Rhinolophus ferrumequinum: one gene and its partner. The protein of the gene in region 1 interacts with the protein of each later gene in a pairwise test. Links are inferred from orthologs where the notes say so. Each region holds a gene or a part of one and is shown on either strand. Other genes may lie near its edges.

Evidence for each region. The genes of interacting proteins can lie anywhere in the genome.
Region 2: the proteins of TNNI3 (region 1) and TNNC2 interact in binary tests that used the Homo sapiens proteins (3 or more experiments, as listed by UniProt). The two-hybrid records come from large-scale screens. The link is inferred for Rhinolophus ferrumequinum from reciprocal best matches to the Homo sapiens genes TNNI3 and TNNC2.

The regions. Positions count from the first base shown.
Region 1 is NC_046298.1:48,372,441-48,379,964, forward strand, and holds the start of TNNI3 (troponin I, cardiac muscle), read right to left. Parts: upstream 3,007-7,524; 5' UTR 2,853-3,006; coding exon 2,842-2,852; intron 2,568-2,841; coding exon 2,555-2,567; intron 2,424-2,554; coding exon 2,337-2,423; intron 1,905-2,336; coding exon 1,863-1,904; intron 1,558-1,862; coding exon 1,426-1,557; intron 1,038-1,425; coding exon 948-1,037; intron 1-947. Other genes in the region: DNAAF3 (dynein axonemal assembly factor 3), read right to left, coding at 4,450-4,891, 4,974-5,048, 5,187-5,301, 5,926-6,055, 6,300-6,422, 6,519-6,644, 6,787-6,969, 7,282-7,439. UniProt on the Homo sapiens protein: Troponin I is the inhibitory subunit of troponin, the thin filament regulatory complex which confers calcium-sensitivity to striated muscle actomyosin ATPase activity.
Region 2 is NC_046306.1:12,303,853-12,311,768, reverse strand, and holds TNNC2 (troponin C, skeletal muscle), read right to left. Parts: upstream 3,039-7,916; 5' UTR 2,906-3,038; coding exon 2,903-2,905; intron 1,451-2,902; coding exon 1,399-1,450; intron 1,260-1,398; coding exon 1,116-1,259; intron 1,015-1,115; coding exon 900-1,014; intron 735-899; coding exon 598-734; intron 335-597; coding exon 303-334; 3' UTR 162-302; downstream 1-161. Other genes in the region: SNX21 (sorting nexin-21), read left to right, coding at 6,923-7,184, 7,691-7,848. UniProt on the Homo sapiens protein: Troponin is the central regulatory protein of striated muscle contraction. Tn consists of three components: Tn-I which is the inhibitor of actomyosin ATPase, Tn-T which contains the binding site for tropomyosin and Tn-C.

The DNA.
Region 1 (7,524 bases):
ACCCTTGATGTCCTGAATGTCATCAAAATGTCTTCCTTTCAATATTTCCTTTATCTCCGGGTAAAGAAAGAAGTCACTGGGGGCCAGATCAGGTGAGTAGGGAGGGTGTTCCAATACAGTTATTTGTTTACTGGCTAAAAACTCCCTCACAGAGGCAGTTGGTTAGCTCAGTTGGTTAGAGCACATGTTCTTAACAACAAGGTTGCTATTTTGATTCCCACATGGGCCAGTGAGCTGTGCCCTCAACAACTAGATTGAGGACGACTTGAGCTGAGCTGCCACTGAGCTGCTGGTGGGTGGCCTGATGGCTCAGTTGGTTAAAACATGTGCTCTTGAAAATGGCGACAGGACTTGGGGCTGAGCTGCGCCCTCCACAACTAGACTGAAGGACAAAGACTTGACTTGGAGCTGATGGGTCCTGGAAAAAACAGTTCCCCAATAAAATTAAACAAAACAAAACAAAACAAAAAAACCCTCACAGACAGTGCCGTGTGAGCTGGTGCATTGTCATGATGCAAGAGCCATGAATTGTTGGCAAAAAGTTCAGGTCACCTAACTAACTTTTTCATGCCCCCTTTTCAGCACTTCCACATAGTAAACTTGGTTAACTGTTTGTCCAGTTGGTACAAATTCATAATAATCCATCTGATATCAAAAAAGATTAACAACATAATTGCAACAAGTTCACGAACTTAATGTCAGACCTTTGTATTTTCACAAACATGTTTTCTGCTGTCCTACATCCTGGCTTTTGCATGTGTTGTTCCCTCTGCCTGAAACAGCCTTGCCTGGCCATACTGAAGTCATCCTTCTGCCCCCTCCCTACTAGACTGACAGAGTTGTCATGGGTCTCCTTAACCACAAGCAGCTGCAAGGGACCAGGCTGACAACAGCCCCAGGCATTGCACCCCACCCTGAAGGGAACCAGACTGCCCCGTGCCTCCCACCTCCGTGATGTTCTTGGTAACTTTTGCCTCCACATCGTATCTCTCCTCATCCACCTTGTCCACACGGGCATGAAGCTGTCGGCACAAGTCCTGGTGAAGGAAAGTGGTGTGTGTAGTTGGGGGGAGCCTGGGGACCTGGACTCTTGGGTCTGAGGGAGGAATATCTGGGGACCTGGACATCTGGTCCTGAAGGAGTAGACTGAAGCTGAATTCTGAGGAACTGAGAACAAAGCAGAACTCTAGAGCAAGGAGTCCTGAGAATCTGACAGAATTAGGGCTGGAAAAAGCAACCTCTGGATTTTTTGCAGCTGCAGGCCATATTTCTGAACTTGTGAGGGTAAGGATTGGGAGATTGGACCCCAAGGTCCTGAGCAGAAGGGGGACAATAGTGACTGTACCCAACTCCCAAGGATGCAAGATCGGACACGAGGAACCTCGGAACCCGGGCTGGGCAGGAGTCCGTGATTAGGGCCGGTACCTGCAGCTCCTGGAAGCCCAGCCCGGCTAACTCCAGAGGCTGGCACCGCGTGCTCAGAGCGCGTCCCTTCTCTCCACGCCGATCCTCCGCCTCCCGCTCCAGCTCCTGCTTCGCTATCTGTAGCATCAGGGTCTGCAGAGGGGACGCCGGGACCACAGCCCACCGGGGTGAGGGGTTCGAAGTCGCAGAGGGGATGCCCCCTCTGTCTGGCCCTCCCTCTAATCTCTGGCGGGGTCCTTGGTCTTCCAGAGACACGCCTCCTCAAGGTCCATCATTCCAAGGCCCCGCCTCTCCTATGGCTGGGCTCCCCACCTCAAAGTCACGCCCCCAAGACGCACCACTTCAAGCCACGCCCAATGACAATCCAAAGCCCCGCCCCAATTTTCAAGCTCTGCCACCCAAGGACATCTAGGCGCCCTCTCCAGGCCCGTCCGCACCTTCAGCTGCAGTTTTCTCGAGGCGGAGATCTTAGACTTTTTCTGCCAGGGTGAGATAGAGAGAGGATCAGGAAGGGGGATCCGAAGGTGGGCGGTGGGAGGGACTTAAGAACCCACCACCTCTAGTCAGGTCGAGGATTGGGCCCGCCTCCAACTCCAGCCCTAGGTCTACGTGAGGCTACGCCCCTCAGTCCCATCCACCAATCTGGGCCCAATATTCCCTAAGCAATCGTAGTTCCCCTGGACAACGGAACCCCGCCCATAGGCAGCTCTGACAATCCGATCCCAGCCCCTTGAGAACCCCCCGCCCCCCATCCAAAGCGCCTCATCCCTTTTGGCTCCGTGAATGACTGAAGTCCCGCCTCTATTAAGGACCTGGCCCCGTCCCCATTTCCCAAGGTACGAGTAAACCACCTCAGAGTCTGAATCCGGACCCCGCCCTTGCCCCGCCCGCCGCACTGGCCCCGCCCTCACCTTGGCATGCGGCTCGGTGGCATAAGCGCGGTAGTTGGCGGAGGAGCGGCGGCGGATCGGAGCAGGCGCGGGGCACGAGTCCCCGGCCTGGGTTGGGGGGACGGAGCCGCATTACCACCAGGACCCCCAGCTCCCCTGTATGCTCCAGCCTCCCGCCCCAGAGCCCTCCCGGCAGCGCCCTCCCCCGGCCCGCGGGTCCGGCCCACGCCTGCTCTCACCGCATCGCTGCTTCTGAAGGGAGAGAAACCAGGAAAGGGGGGTTAATGCTGGGCCTCTTTACTGTCCTGTCCAGTCCTTCTCCTAAGGGACCCCAGAAGCCCCTCTGACCAAGAGGTCTGACCACCAGCTCTCCCGACTCTGGTCCCAGGAGTGTGATTCCCAAACTCTTAACCCATTCCGACTCCCAGGAGTCCTGTCTCCACCTCCCTTCTCAGGCCAGGGGTCCAGCCTCCCAGCTCTCACCCCTCCCAGGGACCCAGGAGACCGGGTTACCAGCTTCACTCACTCGTCTGCCATGCTGAGACTCTAGCCAAGTGTTGCAAAGGCAGAGAAGGGCAACAGGCTCTTGGAGGGTCAGTGAGGGGGCGTCCGGGGTGACCTTGAAGACCCTTGGGACTTCGTCGCGTCTGAGCAGCTCAAGCCTCACTGAGGACACTGATAAAGGGCGAAGGCAGAGACTAAATATACTGCTGCCCTCTCCTCCCTCTGCCCAGGATGCGAGATAACAGGGCACGTGAGGGGTGGGATGGGCCATGCTTCAGCTGGATCACCCGTCCACATTGGTGGACTGGGAATCCAGCCCGGCCCCTTAGCTTTGACCCAGGAGTCCAGGCCCCCAGCCCCTCCTCCTTCAGACCCAGGAGTCCAGGCCCCCAGCCCCTCCTCCTTCAGACCCAGAAGTCCAGGCCCCCAACCCCTCCTCCCTCAGACCCAGGAGTCCAGGCCCCCAGCCCCTCCTCCTTCAGACCCAGAAGTCCAGGCCCCCAGCCCCTCCTCCTTCAGACCCAGAAGTCCAGGCCCCCAACCCCTTCTCCTTCAGACCCAGGAGTCCAGGCCCCCGGCCCCTTAGCTTTGACCCAGGAGTCCAGGCCCCCAACCCCTCCTCCTTCAGACCCAGGAGTCCAGGCCCCCAACCCCTCCTCCTTCAGACCCAGAAATCCAGGCCCCCAGCCCCTCCTCCTTCAGACCCAGAAGTCCAGGCCCCCAACCCCTCCTCCTTCAGACCCAGGAGTCCAGGCCCCCAGCCCCTCCTCCTTCAGACCCAGAAGTCCAGGCCCCCAACCCCTTCTCCTTCAGACCCAGGAGTCCAGGCCCCCGGCCCCTTAGCTTTGACCCAGGAGTCCAGGCCCCCAACCCCTCCTCCTTCAGACCCAGGAGTCCAGGCCCCCAACCCCTCCTCCTTCAGACCCAGAAATCCAGGCCCCCAGCCCCTCCTCCTTCAGACCCAGAAGTCCAGGCCCCCAACCCCTCCTCCTTCAGACCCAGGAGTCCAGGCCCCCAGCCCCTCCTCCTTCAGACCCAGGCGTCTGGGCTCCTCTCCCCTCACTAAACTGCAATCTCCATGAGGGCAGGAGCTTTGTCCTTCGTTGTTTTTCATCTTATGGTTAGGTTCAGTGCCCCAAAGCTGTCAGCAACTCAATGTATTTTGTTGATTTATTTGAGGATCCAAGTGTGGGGTGCTCAGGCACTCAAGCGACAGCACCAGGAAATCCACTCCTAGTCTACTTGGAAACCCAGAAATCTGATGTTGGCTCTCCTTTTCTAACCACTTCTGACCCCTTCCTTGCCCCAACCTTGGGGCAAGGAAAAGACTGAAGACAGGAAAGACACACAGACACACAGAGAAGAGGACCAGGTTCTCTTTACTTGACCACGTGGGTGCTGACCACCCCCAGGAGAGAAGACACCCCCAACCCCAAGTTAGGAATGGAACAGCTGGGAACCACATAGAGGGCGGTAGACCCAGGGCCAAATCTCTAGGCCGCGTTTAGAGTCTCAGGAGTGGAGTGTAGAACTCTGAGAAAACAATGTACAATTGTAGGGATAGAATATAGAATCCCAGGAATGGAATCTGAAATTCAAGCCTTTGGGACTGAAGACCTGACTTTAGAAGTTAGAGATGGGGGACTTGGTTTCTGGGGATCCAGTCAGACTCTGGTTTTGAGGTCTCACTCCCTGTGGGTGGAGCCGAAGCCTCAGAGAATGAAACCTGAGATTCTGAGGGCAGCTGGAGGGGCACAGGGGGTGGGGTTCGGCCTTGGAGGGGCTGGGTCAGATCCTCAGAGAGTGAGTCCCTTGCCTCATGGGGTGAGACCACGACTTCAGGGAGCAGATCCACGACTCCAGGGGGCGGGACCAGGACTTCAGGGATTGGAGGCCCGGGTTCGGCCACTGAGTCAGTGCAGACCGGAGCAGAGTCCTGGCACTTGTAGAAGCGCGCGAAGGTCTCAGACGGCCTGGCCCCGGGCTGTGGGGCGAATCCGGCTGCCTGAGCTAGCTCCCTAACCCGGGCGGTAAACGCCTGCAGCTGCTCCTGCCGCAGGTCCACCAGGTACCTGAAATCGGGAAATAGCGTTAAGAGACACGGTTTTCCGCCCCCAGCCTTGTTCCCTGCCCTACTCTCAGCTGCTGGCTCACCGGGCTAACTCCACAATCAGATGTCCACCAGGGGCCACACAGGCCCCGAGCTCAGGGCTGAGAAGATGGGCCATCCTGCGGAGGGAAACGGGGTGGACTGAGGCTCAGACTTTCAGGTATTGAGGGAGGAGGGGCTGGTACCTGGACTCCTGGGTCTGAGGGAGGAGGGGCTGGGAGAGGGAAGTCTGCAAGCCCCCCACTAGGCCCTCTTACCCACAAGCCACGTAGAGAAGCTGGAACTGTCCCTTGTAGCAGGTCTTGTGGTGGAGGGTCTGGGAAGAATGGAGGGGCAGGAAGCAGATAGTGAAGGATGCCGGGCCCGGGGCTGCTGGGGAAGATGGCAGAGTTAAGCAGACACACAAAGCCTCCTCGAAGCCCTTTCTCATCCGTTCTTTTAGGTGGATGCCTGGGAAATTTTGGGATGTTGGCTGGGTAGGCACAGACATTTTATAGACGAGGCAACTAAGTAAGACTCAGGAGAAGGGAAAAGAGTGAGCCCTCATGGCCGCACAAGGCACCCAAACAACGGGGAGGGCTAGATTGGGGGACAGTTAGAAGGAGGCAAGACCAGATTTGGAGAGGGGGGGCTTTCCTGCAAAGGTGAGCTGGGAGAGACCAGAGCCTTATTAGAATGTTCTCATCCTCTTAGGCTTCCCAGGAAGGCTTAGAATTCTACTGTTGGAGTTCAGAATGCTAAGAATGGTGTCAGGACTTAGAAAAGGGAGCCAGAAATACAAAGAGAATAGAGAAAAAGAGACGGACAGTCAGGAAGGGGAGGTTACTTGTCCAGCCATTGGAAACCGTTATCTGTCCACGCTGGTATTTGAAACACCTGAAGTCTGGAGCCCGGAACGGGGGGTCCAGGTCCCACTCTCTCCGGGAGGATGATGTAGCCACTTTATCACCCGAGCCGCCTCCCCTCTCAAGGGGAAGAACTGAGTCCGCCGCTTACCAGGCTCGCGGGTTCCATCCTCTTCGCCCGGCACCTCCACGAGGTCCCCCTGGGAAGCTCTCGGACGCCCCCAGGCGGTCAGCGCTCGGAACAGCTCCGTCACGTTGTGCAGAGTGATCTCTCCGGCAGTCTGTGGGGGAATGGGCGTGACCGCGGGGCGGGGCTTAGAGAATGCCATCCCTCCCACCTCTCCATCCCCAGAGCTAGCTTCTACGGTAGGGGACCAGCTTGGATTCCCGGACTGTGTTTAGAAAGTGGAGAGGGATGGGGCGTAAACCGTGGAGGCGGAGCCTATGATTTTGTGGCGGGGCCTAGAATACAGAGGGCGGGGCCTTGCGAACACCACCCTGATCCCAGCACCCGGTGCCACACACTTTGATCGGCTGCCCGTTGCTGGTCCGCAGGAGGTTCTCATCGTCCGCTTCGATGCCAAAAGCCACGAAGGGCCCCGTGGCGATGTCCCCCCAGTACCCTCGTGCTGCCACGCGCTCCCCGCGCTGGGAAAGCAGGAAGAGAGGAGGCGGATGAGGTCGATCCAAACTCCTGGTTGCCCCAAAAGAAGGAGCTTGCCAGGGCAGGGAGTGGACACACACATGGCTCAGTAGGCGACCGGACGCCAGGGTCCTGTTGGGCACATGGTAGGCGCTGGAGTCTCTGAGTTCAAAGGCGACGCCTGTGTCCCTCCAGCGCCGGAACTCGCGTATGTGGATGACTCGGGCCTGCGGAGGGGAGAAGGAAAGAAAAGAAGCCTCAGTGAGTCCGGTAAACGGGCCAACAGCCCTTCCTCTCAAAGACCCAGGAGTCCGGGCCCCCAGCCCCTCCTCCTTCACACTCAGGACTGAAGGGCCCCAACCCCCTCACCCCGCGGTCGTGCAGCTTCATGTGCAGGTCCCAGTCGCTGACACCGCGCCGGGCGTCGTAGCGGGAGCCCAGGTAGTGGCGCAGCCTCGAGTCCCAGAGGCGACTCATTGGGAAGGCCTCCGGCCCCTTCTCCCCACCGGCCCAAAAGCGGAATACCGCCTCCAGAACGTCCCGTTCGCGGAACTGCGCGGCCGGCATGCATGGAGAGAAAGCGAGAGGGAGGGGCTGCAGGGAGAGCAGCCTCTCCTGCTTGACCCTCCCTTTCATCCCAGAGCGTGGGCACGATTCTCCCGTTTCTCAGATAAAGAAACAGGCTCGGAGAGCAGAAGCCAACCCCTAGGCCAAATCCCACAGTGGGAGCCATGGAGCTGGAGTTCCAACTCTCCAGCTCCTGACCCTCTCCATCAACGGAAACCTTTTTGGACCGCTCATCTCCATTCTTTCCGCGGCCACCCGGGTCCCAGGCGGTGATGGATGGAGGCTAGGCGGCGGCACCTTGAGTGCACCCAAGCTAATCCAGGGCAGCTGCTCCGCTAGGCTGTCGGGCTCCGGTACCAGATGTGCTAGGCGGTCGGCCTGGGCGCGCACGAAAGCGGCCACTGGGGGGCGCAGCAGCGTGTTACCCCACACCTCCAGGAAGGCCTCGCTCCTCTCTGCCGGGAGAAGGGACAAAAGTAGTGGAGGGAGCAGAAGACTGAGTCCAGAAGTGAGACTCGTGTCTCATACTCTATTCATAGA
Region 2 (7,916 bases), on another chromosome or scaffold:
TCGGGCTCCTGCGACCCGGTGCCTTTCCACATCCCGCTGCTGGACTCGCCTCTTCTAGGAGCCGGAAGGCGCTCGGGTGGCGCCAGCCGGGGTGGCGCCCTGCCCAGCCAAGCTGCCCCTGACACCCGCTCTTCGATCCTTCCCTCACTCAGACCAAGCGCTTTGCAACGATTGCTTTTATTCCTTCTAGAAAAGGATCCCGAAAGGGACCGCGCCTCCCTCCCGGGCGGGGAATGGCACGGAGCGGGGAGAAGCCCCGTCACCCGAGGGTGGCGCGGTTTCGGTGGGCGAGGGCCGACTTCTTACTGCACGCCCTCCATCATCTTCAGGAACTCTGCGGGAAGGAGAGAGAGGGACAGGCGGTCAGGGGTCCCCTCGGGACGCAGAACCCTGCGCCGGGGGCGCAGTGTCAGGGGGCGGCGAGTGAGGCCGGGCCAGGGCGCCCGCCGACACCGGGCGCGCGGGAGGAACCCGGTCAGGCCAGCCCCGCCCCGCCCCTGAGGCTAGCCGCCCGCGTGGGTGCCGGCGGCACGGGTGCCCCGCCCTGGATGCGCTCCACGCGGCTCTGTCCCGGCTCCCCAGGCCTGTGGCCCTCACCGTCGAAGTCAATGCGGCCATCGTTGTTCTTATCCCCGTCTTTCATCAGGGATTCGATCTCCTCATCTGTCACGTGCTCCCCAGAGGACCTGAAGATCTCAGCCAGCTCCTCCGCATCGATGTAGCCGTCTGCGTTCCTTCGGGCCGAGGGACAGGGCGGGACTCAGGGCAGGCAGGGGCTCGCCGCCCCCGCCACACTCCACACCCCACTCCCAGCACCCCCACCCCGAGAACCCTTCGCGCCCTGCGGACCGGTCTCCGGCTGCTCAGCGCCTGCCTCGGCTCCCAGGCCCCCAATGCACCTGTCGAAGACGCGGAAACACTCGGCCAGCTCCTCCTCGCTCTTCCCTTTCGCGTCCTCTTTCATCTGGCGCACCATCATGACCAAGAACTCCTCGAAGTCGATGGTGCCGCTGCCTGAAGGGAGCAGGTGGTGAGTGACCCTGAGTCCCGGACACCTGGCTGCCCGCCTCTCCCGATTCCCCCTCGCACCCTGCCTGGGGAGGCCACCCGCTCACCGTCCTCATCCACCTCCTCAATGATGGCGTCCAGCTCCTCTTTGGTGGGTGTCTGGCCCAGCATTCTCATCACCGTGCCCAACTCCTTGACGCTGATGTCCCCGCCACCATCAGCGTCAAACATGTCAAAGGCGGCCTTGAACTCTGCGAAGTGAAGGAAGGCAGAGGGCTGAGGTAAGCCTGGCTGGACTGTCAGCCTCACATCTACCTTCCCACCCTGCCCAGATACCAAACATCCCCCCAGCAGACATCAACCCTACAGTTAGCCTGCCACTCCACTCACCAGCGATCATCTCCTCGCTGAGGTAGGACCGGGCCTCGGCCTGCTGGTCTGTCTGCAGAAGACACAGAGTCAGATGACAGAAGGGGCAGCCCTGGGGCAAATTCTTGCCTTAACCCCTGTGTCCTCAAGCGCCAGCTCTGTAAGTGCCCCTTGGTCATCAGGAAGAACAACTCCAAACTAGCCATCCCTTCTGCCTGCCCCCACAGCCCCGGACCCCAGTTTTGGATAACTAGAGAGGAAACATTATGCCCAAGGCCTTCTCGCTTGTCAATCAGAAGTCAAGTCAGGAACCCCCCCAGTAACCTTGGGGGGGGTCACTTGATGTCCCCTCATATCCTCACCTCTTCTGAGCAGCTTTTCAGGGATGAAATGAAATTAGGGCTGTGAAAGGACTTTGTAAAGCGCCAGCACCAGTCCAGCGTGATTTCCCCATTTTCCCTAGCTCCTAACTGTATCTCGTACTTTAATAGGTGCTCAATAAATGTTTGTTCTCAAATAAATCACACAACACCACGTTCCTGAGCACCCACTAAGTGTCAGAACATAACCCAAGCACTAGGACCACCAAGCAGACACCTCATCCTTCCCCTCTGGGAACTTGCAGAAGTGGAGATGTTTAAGCTTCCTTCTTATGATTCAGTCATTAGAGTAAAGGCCACTCATGCCAGGCAGAACATGATGGGGGCCTTGCAGGGGTGAAAATAAGATTCCCGTGGGGTTTCCAGTCACATCTAAGCCAAGCCATCTGGATAGGGGGCTTTGGACTGTGGCTGGTGGTGAGGAAGGGCTGAGGCACCCAAGAAGTTCCTCTGGCTGGTGGCTGGCCCTCCTCCTTGCCCCCCTCCTCCTTGCCTGTGCCAGGAGGACAAGCTAATTTTAGGCTGGTGAGGGCAACAGCAGCTGGCCTCCAGGGTCTAGTTACTCCTTGAAGTGCAGTGGAGAGGGGGATCTCAGAGAAAGATGATAGCTCCAAAGCAGACCCCCTCTGTGGGAGGCTGGGGTCTCTCTAACTCTGGCCTGTCATCTTCTGCCCCTTCTCATAACCCTTGGAGCTTGAGGCCCTGGAGGCCTCCCACCTTCCAAAGGAGACTTTCTTCTCCCACTGGCAGGAGGGTTTGGCCAGGCTTCTCCAGCCTATCCCTGCCACCGGTTCGCTGGTGTGACTCACTCTGGCCCTCAGGGTCCCCATCTCTACCAAGCTAAGGTAGACACAAGCTAAGACACCCCCCTCACAGGTCAAAGACCAACATTGCTGGAAGTCCTAGAAGGTCTGCAGGAAATCTGCACACCTTGAGGGCCAATGCCGGGGACATCCCCGCCCTGCCTTCCAAGAGAAGTCCAAGGCTTTCCTCCCAGGCTTCCTCCTAGACACCTGGGTTGCAGGAACCTTCACATTCCATCTTCAAACATCCAAGTTACTGTTCCACAGAGCACTCGGATTTGGCTTTAAAGAGCCCAGGCGTCCTCCAGCAAGCAAAGGGATGAAGTCCCTTCTTGTCCTTACCATGGTTCCTAGTCACAGGGACTCCTCTGCTGCTGGTCACCTCCTCTGCACTCCACCACCCAAAGATGCCCTGGCCCGCTCCAGGCCCTGGGATTTGTAGGGGCACCTTATCCTCCCACCTCCCTGCTCCCCAGGACTGGATGCCCTGGCCAATCAGATCCTGGGGTCAGTGAGTCCCCCCTCCTCCCGGAGTCCTAGCCCATTGCCTAATTTAGCCAAGGGCCCTTGCAGAGAAATTGAAGCCTCAGAGCAGGTGGCAGGCCTTGACGTCCTAGATTCTTAGAGGAGAACCCGCCCTGCTCCACTACCTTCGCGAGCCCCCTCCAAGAAGCACACTTGCTCCAAGATGGGTGAGGACAATCAGAATAGAGAAAAGTGAGGCTACGCGGTGGAATGGGGAAGCACAAACCTTGAAGTCCAAAACCCAAAATCTAAGTCCTGCCTCGGCAGGCTGTGTAACCTTGGACAGGTGGCAATGCTGCTCTGAGCTCCTGTTTCCTTGTCTGTGAGAAGGGCACAGTCATAACCTCCCTCACAGAGAGACTGTGGTACACAGGAGCCCAAGTATAAGTCACCTAGCTTGTGCCAGCTACATACTGTTGATGCTTGGCAAATGGAATGTCCTGTCTTTGAACAGGACCCGAGGAAGGGAAAGTGACAGCCACAGTTATTGAACCTCTACAACATGCACACACTGTACTAAGCATTTTAACCACATTATCTCAGAGCTCATCTAGTACTCATCCTGTGGGGTGCCAACTATTGTTATGCCCTTTTTATTGGGGAGCTTTGTAAATCATAAAGGTCTATAGTCAGATTGGTGATTCGTATTAATCTTGACTGAGGGGAACTTGGGACAGACACTTCTTGGGGGACCCATCCAGACGGAGAATTGTTCGGCCGGGTCCAGGAAACAGGATGTGCCCTTGGAGGAGAAATCAACATTGAAAGCAGATTCTTCTCTGAAGTTTACCTTCTCCAGGGAAAGGATTTGGAGATTTACTTTTTGGGGGAGGAAGAGGACCAGAGGAAGTTTGTCTAATTAGATAAAGGGGCAGCGGACCCCTTGTTGGAGCTTGGGGGTGAAGTCTGCAGGTGCTCAGCTGACCATCTGGAGAGTAAAAGGGTGAGCAGATCAAGTCACGTCTGAAGGGGTCCTAGCCTGAGAATCCACAGGGTCCAGCCTGGGCGTTGGGAAGTAGGCCACACTCATGACAATGGTTAAGGCAACAGAAAGAGCTCTGAGACAACTGAGCACAGAGTCTGGGGCCAGTGAAAGGGGGCTGGACACCAAGGTAGGCAGATGGACAGTGGCAACTGGGCTGCCCTCTTCCCCTATATATAGACATTCCCAAAGGAAAGCTCAGAGGAGCCAGGCCAGGCTAAATAAGGCCTCTCCAAGCCAGACAGAGGGCCAAGGGGCGATGACACTCAAGGGATTCCAATTTGGACACAAACGTTGGAACCACTTGATCCCTTTGGAACAGAGTGTGGAACTCTCAGCAATCATTTGTTCATTGATTTGTTATTTAATTTGTTCAGGGGCATAGATAACATCCACATTTAGTGTGGCCAAGCAAGGTCCCACTGACCACTCCCATCTCACTCCCCTTCCCTCCCCACCTTGCATGCTGCTTTGCTTTGGTCCAATGAAAATACAATTCAAAACACCACCCTTTATAGCCTCCAGGCCTTCGCACGTGCTGTTTTTTTCTGCCAGGATCTTCCCATCTTCCCGCTCTTCATCTGCTTACTTCTCTATCTTTCTCAGCTTTAGCATTACTTCATCCAGGATCCCTCTTCCTCTACACCCAGGCCAAGAGAGTCTAAGGTGGTCTCCAGTAGTTTCCTCAGTCATAACACTGCACGTGCCCCATGATCACAACCCGTTCTGAGTTCCACAGACAAGAGGCGGTGTCCTAGTCACCACTGCATTGCCCAGTACCCAGCACTTGGCACTTAGCAAGGGTTCAATAAAGATTGTGTGCTTTGTAAGAATAACTGAACTGAATGGCTACTGGTTCAATACAAGAAGGAAGTCACCGTTGAAGAACAACAGGAACAGGCAGCCTCAGGAGGTGAAAAGCTTCTTGTTACTGAATGCATGCAAGCAGGAATTTGATGACCATCTCTCCATACAGAGTCTAAGAGTAGTGCAATACAGGACATCAGGAGATCTCCTTGTTCTGGCCCTGTTTGTGTGTCCCAGGGTAAGCCCTTTCCCCTCCCTGAGCCTCAGACTACCCATCTGGAAAATGGAAGTGCTAGGCCAGATTTCTGAGAGACCCTCCTGCTCTGACAACCCATGGTTTTATGAATACCTGCTTTGTACCCAGATTGTGAGGCATATACCAAAGTACAACTTAATATTCAGCCAATGTTTGGTGAATGAGTGAGTGTTGAGTGAATGAATGAATGATGTGTCTTTTTTGCCCCAACACCATGCTGGTAAGCTGAATGAAGAGTAGTTAGAACTTTGAAATTACACAGACTTGGCCTTAATTCCAAGCTCTCCTATTTCCTAGCTGTGGATTTTGGGAAAGTCAATTTGCCTCAGTTTCTTCATCTTGAAAATGGACCGTCATTGTCCAATAACAACCCCTTCCCTAGGATGTTGTGAGGGTGAAATGTGACCCCATGCAAAGTGCCTAGAACAGGATGTACACGGAAACTCAATGGAACCTCAAGAAATGAGAGCCCCGCCCCCTCTGCACGTGGGATGGCAGGGAATGTGTTTTCCATTCAAAGCTATTTTCCCCTACCCCCCTCTCCTGTGCCATTCAAAACGGGTGGGAGCTACTATCAGAGCGATTTTATTTGTTCGGTTGTATAACTAGCAATATCTGCCCTGTTAGGGACCAATATCTGGGCCTTCCGACACAGGCAGCGACAATAAATTCTTCTTCACCTGCTGCTACCATCCCCATAACACATAAAACACAGCCCTCCATAGATGTTGCTCAAAATTAGCGGGCCTGCTGCTTAGGAAAAGAACAGGGAAAGAACTCAGAAACCTGGGCTATTAGGCCCCATACTCAGAAAACTCTTGGCAAGCTGTGTGACTTTGGGCAAGTAACTCAGTCTCTCTGGGTTTCTTACCCTTTTGCCTACTTCCTTTATGTGAGGCTCAAGTGGAATTGTAAAAGCCTATGAACACTGTAGAAACAATAATCATGTGACTGATCATTCTGTAAATCCCTGCTCTGTGCCAGGCACTGGACTACGGTCCTTACAAAAGCTGCAAAATTAGTACTAGTATTAATTGTACTTTTATACATGAGAAAACCTAGGCTCAGCGCGGTCAGATTCCAACCCAGATCACGGGTCTTCTCTTGGCCTTAGTTTTCTCACCGGAAAGATGGGTTTCCCACTGTCACGTAATGACTTTGGAGAGTTCAAGAGTGCTGGGTGGAAACTAGGGGCTATATTGGGTCCAGCCTGAGTCTCCGGGATGGGTGAGAGGATTCAAGGAGGGTGTGAGCCCCGTCGGATTGGAGACGATACCGCAGGAGGCCTGGGGCTCGCCCAGGCCTACCCAGGATTCCCAAGTCTCTCCTAGAGCAAAGGGCCTGGGATTCCCGGGCGTCTCCGGGTAGCGGGCGGGGCTGGGGGCGGGGCGGCGGCAGGAAGCGGCAGGAGCGGCGCCCGGAGCTGCTGGGCCGGGCAGAGCCGGCCCGGCCTCTGTAAACGGCCGGGGGCTGCACCGGGACCCCTAGGCAGCGACGCGTCCCCGAGTGCTCCGCTGAACGCAGGAGGTCGAGACGCTACAGGGGGAGACAGAGACGTGGGTAGTAGAGTCCCGGCCCCTCCCGGGAAGTGCGCGGCCCCAAGCTGTGCGGGTGAGGGGAGGGGGATGCGAGAGGAGTCCCGGGACTCTCAGGACCCCACCGGGCAGGGGCGGGGCCTCCGCGGCGTCCCTCCCTCCCCCAACCTGGACCCCTCCCCTCCTCCTTCCCGATCGGGGCCCGGGTCTTCCGCCAGGGCTCAGGACCCACAGTCACGCACTCCCCCTAGGGTGCCATGGCTTCGCGGCTCCTGCACCGGCTGCGGCACGCTCTGGCCGGCGAGGGCCTCGGGGAGGCGGCGGCCGGTCCCGAGGTCGAGCAGTTCCCGGAGAGCTCGGAGCTGGAGGACGACGACGCCGAGGGCCTGTCCTCCCGTCTCAGCGGCACCCTTAGCTTCACCAGCGCCGAGGATGCGGACGACGAGGACGAGGACGACGACGAGGACGACGGCCCGGACCCACTGCCCCGTGGGGACGAGGCGTCGGGAGAAGACACAGGCGAGTGCGGAGGACGAAGGCGGAAACCTTGGGGGCTCGATTAGGCCTCCACCACGGCCACCTTCCCGAGATGGTCACAGGGCTCTGAGTTGATCTTGCCCAAACTCCGAAATTCTGACACTTTGAAGTGTCCCAACCACCTCTTGAATGTGTGACCTTGAGAGAGTCACAATACCTTTTTGAACCAAGTTCTCCCTAGTGTCAGATGGGGGAAATCACTCCCTTCTCAGAGTTGTTGCAGACATTAGCTGTACCAGAGTCAGGGATACAACGTGGTAATGTGCTAGGGATGTCTTGGGGGTGCAGATATTAAGTTAGTGCCTACTGTGCACTTATCTGCCAGGCACGATGTTGGGCATTCAGGCCCTCTCTGGCCCTCAGTTTCCTTTTATGACAAATGGGGATAAAGTTATGTCACTTGTTGGGAGGATGAGTAAGGTCATAGAACGTGGTTTATGTGATCCTGGCTCCGGGCCCATTGATGTGACTGGTCTGTACTCATGCAGAACAGAACCCCCCACCTGATGGGCAGCGGGGTAGTCAGCACCTGGCACGGCAATTGCAGGATTTCTGGAAGAAGTCCCGGAACACCCTGGTACCCCAGCGGCTGCTCTTCGAAGTGACCAGCGCCAATGTGGTCAAGGACCCCCCCTCCAAGTACGTGGTGAGTGAGTGTCCAGGAATTCCTGAGCTGTGAGTCTACAAGTCTAGCTAAGAGAAAGTAAAGACGAC